Linked DNA regions of Oryctolagus cuniculus. Each later gene encodes a partner of the first gene's protein in a complex. Links are inferred from orthologs where the notes say so. Each region holds a gene or a part of one and is shown on either strand. Other genes may lie near its edges. The genes, in order: GAS8 and DRC12.

The links.
Region 2: GAS8 (region 1) and DRC12 share a complex: the UniProt entries of both Homo sapiens proteins name them as parts of the nexin-dynein regulatory complex. The link is inferred for Oryctolagus cuniculus from reciprocal best matches to the Homo sapiens genes DRC4 and DRC12.

The regions. Positions count from the first base shown.
Region 1 is NC_091449.1:69,576,698-69,580,499, forward strand, and holds part of GAS8 (dynein regulatory complex subunit 4), read left to right. Parts: intron 1-1,029; coding exon 1,030-1,239; intron 1,240-3,802. UniProt on the Homo sapiens protein: Component of the nexin-dynein regulatory complex (N-DRC), a key regulator of ciliary/flagellar motility which maintains the alignment and integrity of the distal axoneme and regulates microtubule sliding in motile axonemes.
Region 2 is NC_091432.1:111,112,545-111,116,866, forward strand, and holds the start of DRC12 (dynein regulatory complex protein 12), read left to right. Parts: upstream 1-1,472; 5' UTR 1,473-1,534; intron 1,535-1,619; 5' UTR 1,620-1,692; intron 1,693-2,972; 5' UTR 2,973-2,984; coding exon 2,985-3,054; intron 3,055-3,385; coding exon 3,386-3,451; intron 3,452-4,322. UniProt on the Homo sapiens protein: Component of the nexin-dynein regulatory complex (N-DRC), a key regulator of ciliary/flagellar motility which maintains the alignment and integrity of the distal axoneme and regulates microtubule sliding in motile axonemes.

The DNA.
Region 1 (3,802 bases):
CTGCGCCCTCTCTGTCTCCTCAGAAGCCGGCCTCTCACACAGGTTGGGTAGCTTGGCCCCTCACGGCAGCCCTTTTCATCGCCCTGTGTCACGTTCCTGAGCACTAGCCTAACTGCACAACGTGGCACTGTCCATCGTGCAGGTGGAAAGGAGCCGACCTGCTGCCCAGTAGTGGCCCTCAAGGGGGAGGCAGTGTCGTGAGCCTCTTTCTAGACATGGTCTTCTTCCTGTGTGCTTTACTGTAGAAACTGGGATTGTGTTGTAACCAACACTTGCATTTTTTTTTAAAGGTTTGTTTATGTATTTGAAAGTCAGAATTACAGAGAGAGAGAAAGAGAGATATCTTCCATCCTTGGTTCACTGCCCAAATGGCTGCAGTGACCGGAGCTGTGCCAGACTGGAGCCAGGAGCTTTTGCCAGGGGCCCAAGCACTTGGGCCATCTTCTGCTGCTTTCCCAGACACATTAGCAGGAAGCTGGATGGAAGAGGAGCAGCCAGGACTCGAACCAGCACCCCTAAGGAATTCTGGCTTTGCAGGTGGCAGCTTAATCCGCTGCGCCACAGCACTGGCACTGCTTTTGACACTTGTGTGATGTCTTCATTCCTGTACAACACAGTCAGTAGCAGAGTTAGGAGAAGAGGAGAGTAGTTCTACCACTGGGCAGTGTGCTGGCTTCCAGACTGGCCATTGTGGGGTGCGTCGGCAGCAGTGGGATTCCAGGACCGCTCAAGGGGCCCCCCACCTCATAAATGCTTCCTGCTGGCAGTTAGATGCCTTGGATTTCACACACAGGTGGTCAGGGACAGGTGTCACTTGAGGTCAGAAGCAGTAGCTCAGGCTGTTGACCACTTGTGGATTGGCTTTTAGCTGGGGCTGCTCCAGCTCCCACCAGGATGCCCCTTTGCTGCCTGAGACCTTCCTGGGGGGCAGCATGTGCCCAGCAGGGGCAGGGGTGGGAAATGACCTCTCGCCAGGGACATGTCTGCAGGTAAGCGTCCTCGATGCTTACCCCAGTCCCGTCTCTGCAGGTACAACAGGAGCGCGATGAGCTCTACCAGAAGTTCACGGCCGCCATCCAGGAGGTGCAGCAGAAGACGGGCTTCAAGAACCTGCTGCTGGAACGCAAGCTGCAGGCCCTGAATGCCGCTGTGGAGAAGAGGGAGGTGCAGTTCAACGAGGTGCTGGCCGCCTCCAACCTGGACCCTGCCACCCTGACGCTTGTGTCCCGCAAACTTGAGGTAGGCCTTGGGCAGGCTTCTGAGGCGGTGCGGGCCAGGCTGGCCAAGCGGTGGGACTGCTCACTGCTGCCCCGTGCCTGTGTGGGCGGGCAGAGACCTCTCAGGTGACCGCAGGGGAGCTGCTGGTGGTGGCCTCTCAGGCTGTCGTTGCCAGCTTGTGGACACGTCAGTGGGGCTGCAGGCTGTCAGTCTCCCCCAGCCCCTCCTTCCTTCATGGTGCCTGAGACTCAGCCCCTCCCACTGCAGCCACCCAGACTGGCTCACGTCAGGTTCTTGTTACCTGAGCACAGCATGAGGACGGGTTCTCTGCGGGCCTGAGCTCTTCAGCGACAGACCCAGACACAGGCCTGGGGAGCAGCTGCGTCCCTGGGCTCTCCACCTAGGAAAATCACAGCCCCGGGGGCCCCCAGGAGAGGGTGGGTGGGGAGAGCCTTAGGTTGGTGGAGCAGGGGTAGTGAGGTCTCAGCAGACCCAGAACATTCACTCATTTGTGTCCATTGTTGCCTGCGGTGTTGCTCTCCTGGCCCTGGCATGGTGGGGGCAGCCTTGGCCCCCAGCAGACAGCTCGGGGATAGAAGAATCTGAAGCCTCAGACAGCCTCGTAGCTCAGCTTCTGCTGGTTGTCCAGCTTCCACAGCTAGGCCTGCGTCCATCCCCAGTAGCAGCAGGTGCAGCTCCCGCAGGGGCCCTTGGAGACAGACACAGGTCCTCAGCCTCTGGCTCAGCTGCTGCTCCCAAATTGGGCACAGCTGATCTCAAAGCCTGCAGCCTGCCCATCGAGGGGAGTCCCTTGTCCCTGAGATGGACCCTTGTGGGGCCAGTGGACTCCTCTCTGTCCCTCCTCCTTGTGCTGAGGTCGTCAGAGACACAGATGGCCTGGTTACAGATTTGAAGTGTCCTCATAGTTGATGGAGGGGTTTTGTTTTGTTTTGTTTTCCCCTAAAGATTTATTTATTTCAAAGGCAGAGTTACAGAGGCAAGAGAGAGAGAGAGAGAGAGAGAGATCCTCCATCTGCTGATTCACTCCCCAAATGGCTGTAATGGCCAGGGCTAGGCCAGGCTGAAGCCAGGAGCCAGGAGCTTCCTCCAGGTCTCCCACATGGGTGCAAGGGCCCAAGGACTTGGGCCATCTTCCTCTGCTTTCCCAGGTGCATTAGCAGGGAGCTGGATTGGAAGTGGAACAGCCAGGACACAAACCAGTACCTGTTTGGGATGCCAGCACTGCAGGTGGCATCTTTTTTTTTTTTTTTTTAAGATTATTTATTTATTTGAAAGAGTTGCAGAGAGGCAGAGAGAGAGAGAGAGAGGTCTTCCGTTCGGTGGTTCACTCCCCAAATGGCTGTAATGGCTAGAGATGTGCCGATCCGAAGCCAGGAGACAGGAACTTCTTCCAGGTTTCCCACGTCGGTGCAGGATCCCAAGGACTTGGGCCATCTTCTGCTGCTTTCTCAGGCCATAGCAAAGAGCTGGATTAGAAGTGGAGCATCCAGGACTCGAACCGGTGCCCATGTGGGATGCTGGCACTGCAGGTGGCGGCTTTAGCCACTATGCCACAGCGCCAGCCCTGACAGGTGGCATCTTAACCCGCTGTGCCACAGCACCGGCTCCTGTGGAGGTGTTTTATCCTGAGAAGTATTACAGGTAGCATTTTTCAGGTGATTTCATCCACACACTGTTCAGTAGAATGTGAATGCCCAGCACTGACTTTGTGTCGGGCCTCCTTGTCTGTTTGAAGGGAGACATCGTAACAGGGCCCTCAGCTGCACCTGTGACTTGAAGTGATGGGAGCCCCGAGTTGTGGACATGTAGACTGGCTCAGAGAGCCGGAGGGGAGCAGATGGCCAGTGCAGCATGCATGCGAGCAGAGAGGTGTAGGGGTAGGGAAGGCCCCTGCTTGTGGCCAAGCACAGGGGAGCAGCAGGTGCAGGCCCAGAGGGCAGCTCTGTTTGCAGGACCTTGGATTGCTTGGAATAGGCTAGAATAGGCTGTCAGGCCTGGGATGGTGCAACCACACAGGAGGGGAGGCAGCAGCACGGCCCTGGCATTGGACACTTGTTTCCCCTCTGCTCAGGATTGGACCCCTGTCCTCCGGGCAGGGCTGGTCTCCAGGAGCACAGGCAAGTGTGGGAGTGAGGTCCTGCTTTTGGCAGCAGGTGGAGGGACCTGCCCGTCTTCCTCAGGAAGATGGCCTCTGTGCTGCCGATGGAATGGCCAAGTGTACCTGGGCCAACTCTGCTGAAGTGTTAAAAGTTAGGCGCCCGTGCTGTGGCATACTGGATTAAGCCTCTGCCTGCAGTGCTGGCACCCCTTATGGGCTCCAGTTTGAGTCCCAGCTGCTCCACTTCTGATCCAGCTCCCTGCTGATGTGATGTGCCTGGAAAAGCAGTAGAATGTGGCCCAAGTGCTCCTACCTAGGGCCCCTGCACCCTGTGGGAGACCCAGAGGAAGCTCCTGGCTCCTGGCTTTGCGGCCATTTGAGAAGTGAACCAGTAGATGGACGATCTCTCTGGCTCTGCCCCCCACTTTCTTTCTCTAACTGCCTTTCAAATAAATAAGTGTTTTT
Region 2 (4,322 bases), on another chromosome or scaffold:
AAGGACTTGGGCCATCTTCTACTTTCCCAGGCCATAGCAGAGAGCTGGATTGGAAGCGGAGCAGCCAGGACTTGAACCAGCGTCCATATGGGATGCCGGCACTGCAGGCAGGCAGCGGCTTTACCGACTACACCACAACACTGGCCCCCTGACAGTCCCTATTCCTCAGACTCATTTTTCCCAACCACTGTGACTCTAGCGAGATGCTAGGAAGTACCTCAAAAAGGGACTCAGTCCCACACTGCCCAGAGATAATCCAAAATAAAAAACCTTGTGCAGATACTGTGGCGTAGAAGGTTAAGCCACTGCCTGCATGGCGGGCATCCCATATCAGAGTGCTGGTTTGAGTCCCAGCTGCTCCACTTCTAATCCAGATTCCTGCTACTGCGCCTGGGAAGCAGCAGCTGATGGCCCAAGCATTTGGGCCCCTGTCACCCATGTGGGAGACCTGGATGGAGTCTTGGGCTCCTGGCTTCGGCCTGGCTCAGACATGGCTGTGGTTGGCATTTAGGGAGAAAACCAGATGGACGATCTCTGTCTCTCTCTGTATCTGTCGTTCTGCCTTTCAAATAAATGAAATAAATCTATATAAAAAAAAAATTTAGCAGACTTGGGAATACAAGCGAGTCCACTAGAGGGAGCCCCAACCAACTCTATGGTACAGGGAGCCCCTCAAGGTAGTTTCTGAAAATCAACCACCTAAAGGCAATAGATTCAGTGGGTGCAATAAGACAGTCATGTAAATACCCAGTCAAGACCCAGGACCTTCAGAATTTACCAACTCCGTGATGTAAAAGGCAGGAAGCAGGCTAAACCAAGTTAAATAGCTTCCACCTCCAGAGAGGGGGCCTGTGCTGCAGTTTTGGTCCCTAACCAGTGTCCATCCCGCCAAGCCAATACCCCAGAGTCTACGGGTCCTCACTCCTCTGTGTCTCATTTTTCTGGAAGTCTGCCCCAGCACCTGCTCCTGCACCCTGCAGAATGCCTTGCCGAAGGGACGCTTCCGGTTTCAGCACAAGGTCATCTTGCAATAGGATCTCAGGATGTGGATCGTCCAAGACGGCTGCCATCACGCTTTTCCTCCACATCCGCACAACAGTGTTGTCTCAGCCGTGCAAATCTGTCATTTCTGAGTCTCCAAATGACAGCACCTACGTGGAAGTGAATCACAGCTAGTTTGCTCCAAAGCCCTTTCTTTTCAAACTATGCTTAGGATTTGTGGATGAAAGGAGAACTACCTTTCCCAGACCTTGGTCTTTTAGGCATTGTGAGTTGATCTGGCCTATTGCACCTTCTCATGAACTCCATGTTGCTCAGTTGCCTGGGCAACATGCAACCTCCAGAAACCCAACCTTCCAGTTCTCAGTCCAGCCCCCTGAGGAAAATGTGCTGCCTTGGATTGGCTCCCAGGACGCAGGCTCCTCCTCAGGCTCCTAGCTTATTGGGCCTTCTCTCTGTCTCTCCCCACGAGTGGCTCACTCTACAGGGAGACCCAACACAGGCAAGAGAGGGTCTGACAAGTGGTGGAGGTGAGGTAAGGATGAAGGCAAGAGGGAGGGGACAGCTATGGGAATGTATCTTCGCCAAGAGAGCTGAGAGTAACAGCTTTCTGTATGCAGTGTCTTCCCCACTGACCCCAGCCCCGCCTGAGGCTCCAAGGAGACCGGCAACTGAAGCTTCTGGAAAGTAAAGGTTTGTGGGAAATGTAATTAAAAGACAAGCTTATTTTGGTGCAAAAAATTCTTCCAAGTATATTTGAGGGATGTTCAAAAAGCTCATAGAACATGTGTATTGTGAAAAAAAACTGTGGGCCGGTGCCGCGGCTCACTAGGCTAATCCTCCGCCTGCGGCGCCGGCACACCGGGTTCTAGTCCTGGTCGGGGCGCCGGATTCTGTCCCGGTTGCCCCTCTTCCAGGCCAGCTCTCTGCTGTGGCCAGGGAGTGCAGTGGAGGATGGCCCAAGTGCTTGGGCCCTGCACCCCATGGGAGACCAGGATAAGTACCTGGCTCCTGGCTTCGGATCAGCGCGCAGGCTGCAACAACCATTGGGGGGTGAACCAACGGCAAAGGAAGACCTTTCTCTCTGTCTCTCTCTCTCACTGCCCACTCTGCCTGTCAAAAAAAGAAAAAAAAAAAAAGAAAAGAAAAAAGAAAAAAAAAGAAAGAAACTGTGAATGGATTTAACTGTATTTTCTATTAACTTTTTTGTTCTTTTGTTGTTGTTGTTGTTCTCATTTCTCCCTTAATTGTAACTATGTTGAGAGTCAGAGAGAGACCGACAGAAAGACAGACAGAGGCCCCATCTGCTGGTTCACTCCCCCAATTCCCCTAATGGCTGGGACTGGACCTGGCCAAAGCTGGGAGCTGGGAACTCAGTCCAGTTCTCCCAAGGGGGTGGCAAGAATCCACCTGCTTGAATCACCCTGCTACCTCCCCGAGTCTCTGCAGCAGGAAGCAGAAGTCAGGCGCTGCAGCCAGGAGTGCAGCAGGCACTCTGATATGGACTGTGGACGTCTTGACCACTAGACCGAATGCCCAGTCTGTATCCCACGAACTTTCTAAAGTACCATTCGAGTGCCAGTTCAAGTCCTGGCTGCTCCACTTCTGATCCAGTTCCCTGTTAATGTGCCTGGAAGGCGGCAGAGAATGGGCAAGTCCTGGGGCCCCGGCACCCACGTGGGAGATCAGGGGTCCAGACTCCTTACTTCTGCCTGGCCCAACCCTGGCCACTGGGGCCATTTAGGGACTAAATCAGCAGATGGAAGATCTCTCCTTCCACCCCCTGCCCCAACTCTGGCTTTCAACTAAATAAATATTTTTTTGAAATAAATAAATCTTTAAAAAAGAAAGACTTGTGTCTTTAAAACAAGAGAAAGGGGCAGACTTGGAAAGCAGACTTCTGACCCTCCCAAGACTCCTGGTTCAGGATCCCCTTGTCCAGATTTGAAAGCAAGGTCCCCTCCCTCCATCAGGACAGCAAGGAAATGCCACCCAAGACCAAACAGAAAGGCAGGAAAGCCGGCGTGCAGAAGAAGAAAAAGAACCCAGGGCCGGGTGAGTCGTCGTGGGTGGGGGTGGGTGCCCGTTTCTCTGGGTTCTGAAACAGAGACCAAGCAGAGGCCCGCAGCACAGTCCTCGCTGTCCAGATTCCACGGAGCTGAGGAATGGGGGAATGGTCACCCACGCCCTCCCTCGAGACCGCCCAGCTCTGTGCCTCCCCACTGGTCACCCATATGTTGAATGCCTCATCTGTGCTGGGCAGGGAGCACACGGTGCATGCTGAATGGACTCTGCCCGCAGGGAGCCCTCAGAGCTGGCTCAGGACGGAGTCCAGGGCCGGGGGCGGGGGTCATGTAAGCTAAGGCTCTGTCATTTGCCAGGACAGATGTGGAGGCCGAGTCCAAGCACAGACAGCTGGTGCTGGAGACGGAGCTGCTCCGAGACCGGCTGGGTAAGAAGGGTGAGCTATCTGGGACCACAGAAGCAGAGCAGTGGGGGCGCTGCTGTGTCCTGGCGGGACTGGACGTTTGGAGCCACGGTGGAAGCTACGCCAAACCCTAACCATCCCCTAGTGGAACAGGACAGGGAAGGCTGATGAGGGACGCTATTATTTACAGCCAGAACATGGAGGGAGGTTTTACTCCTTAGCAATGAAAAGCTCATGAGATCCTAGGAAAATAAAATGACCCAACAACCTGGAGAGACAGAAAGGGGCGGGCATTGTGGTGACATGGGTTCAGTCACCACCTGCGACACCAGCATCCCACTGGCTGCTCCACTGCCAGTCCAACTCCTGCTAATGTTTCTGGGAAAGCAGCCGGTAATGGTGCAAGTACTGGGGCCCAGCCCCAGCCATAGCAGCCATTTGGGGAGTGAATCAGTGGATGGACAATCTTTCTCTCTCTGTCTCTGTCTCTCTCTCTCTGCCACAGTGCCTTTCAAATAAATAAAATAAATACTTAAAAAGAAAAAAAAAAACAGAAAGAGAAAGAGAAAGAATAAGAGGTGGGGTGCCCTGCCCCCAGGTGTCTTTTATTTTTAAGATTTATTTATTTATTTGAAAGTCAGAGTTACATAGAGAGAGAAGGAGAGAGAGAGAGAGAGAGAGAGAGAGAGAGAGAGGTCTTCCATCCACTGGTTCACTCCCCCAGTTGGCTACAATGGCTGGAGCTGCACTGATCCGAAGCCAGGAGCCAGGAGCTCCTTCCAGGCCTCCCAGGCAGGTGCAGGGGCCCAAGGCATTGGGCCATCTTCCACTGCTTTCCCAGGACATAGCAGAGAGCTGGATCAGAAGTGGAGCAGCCAGGACCTGACTGGTGCCC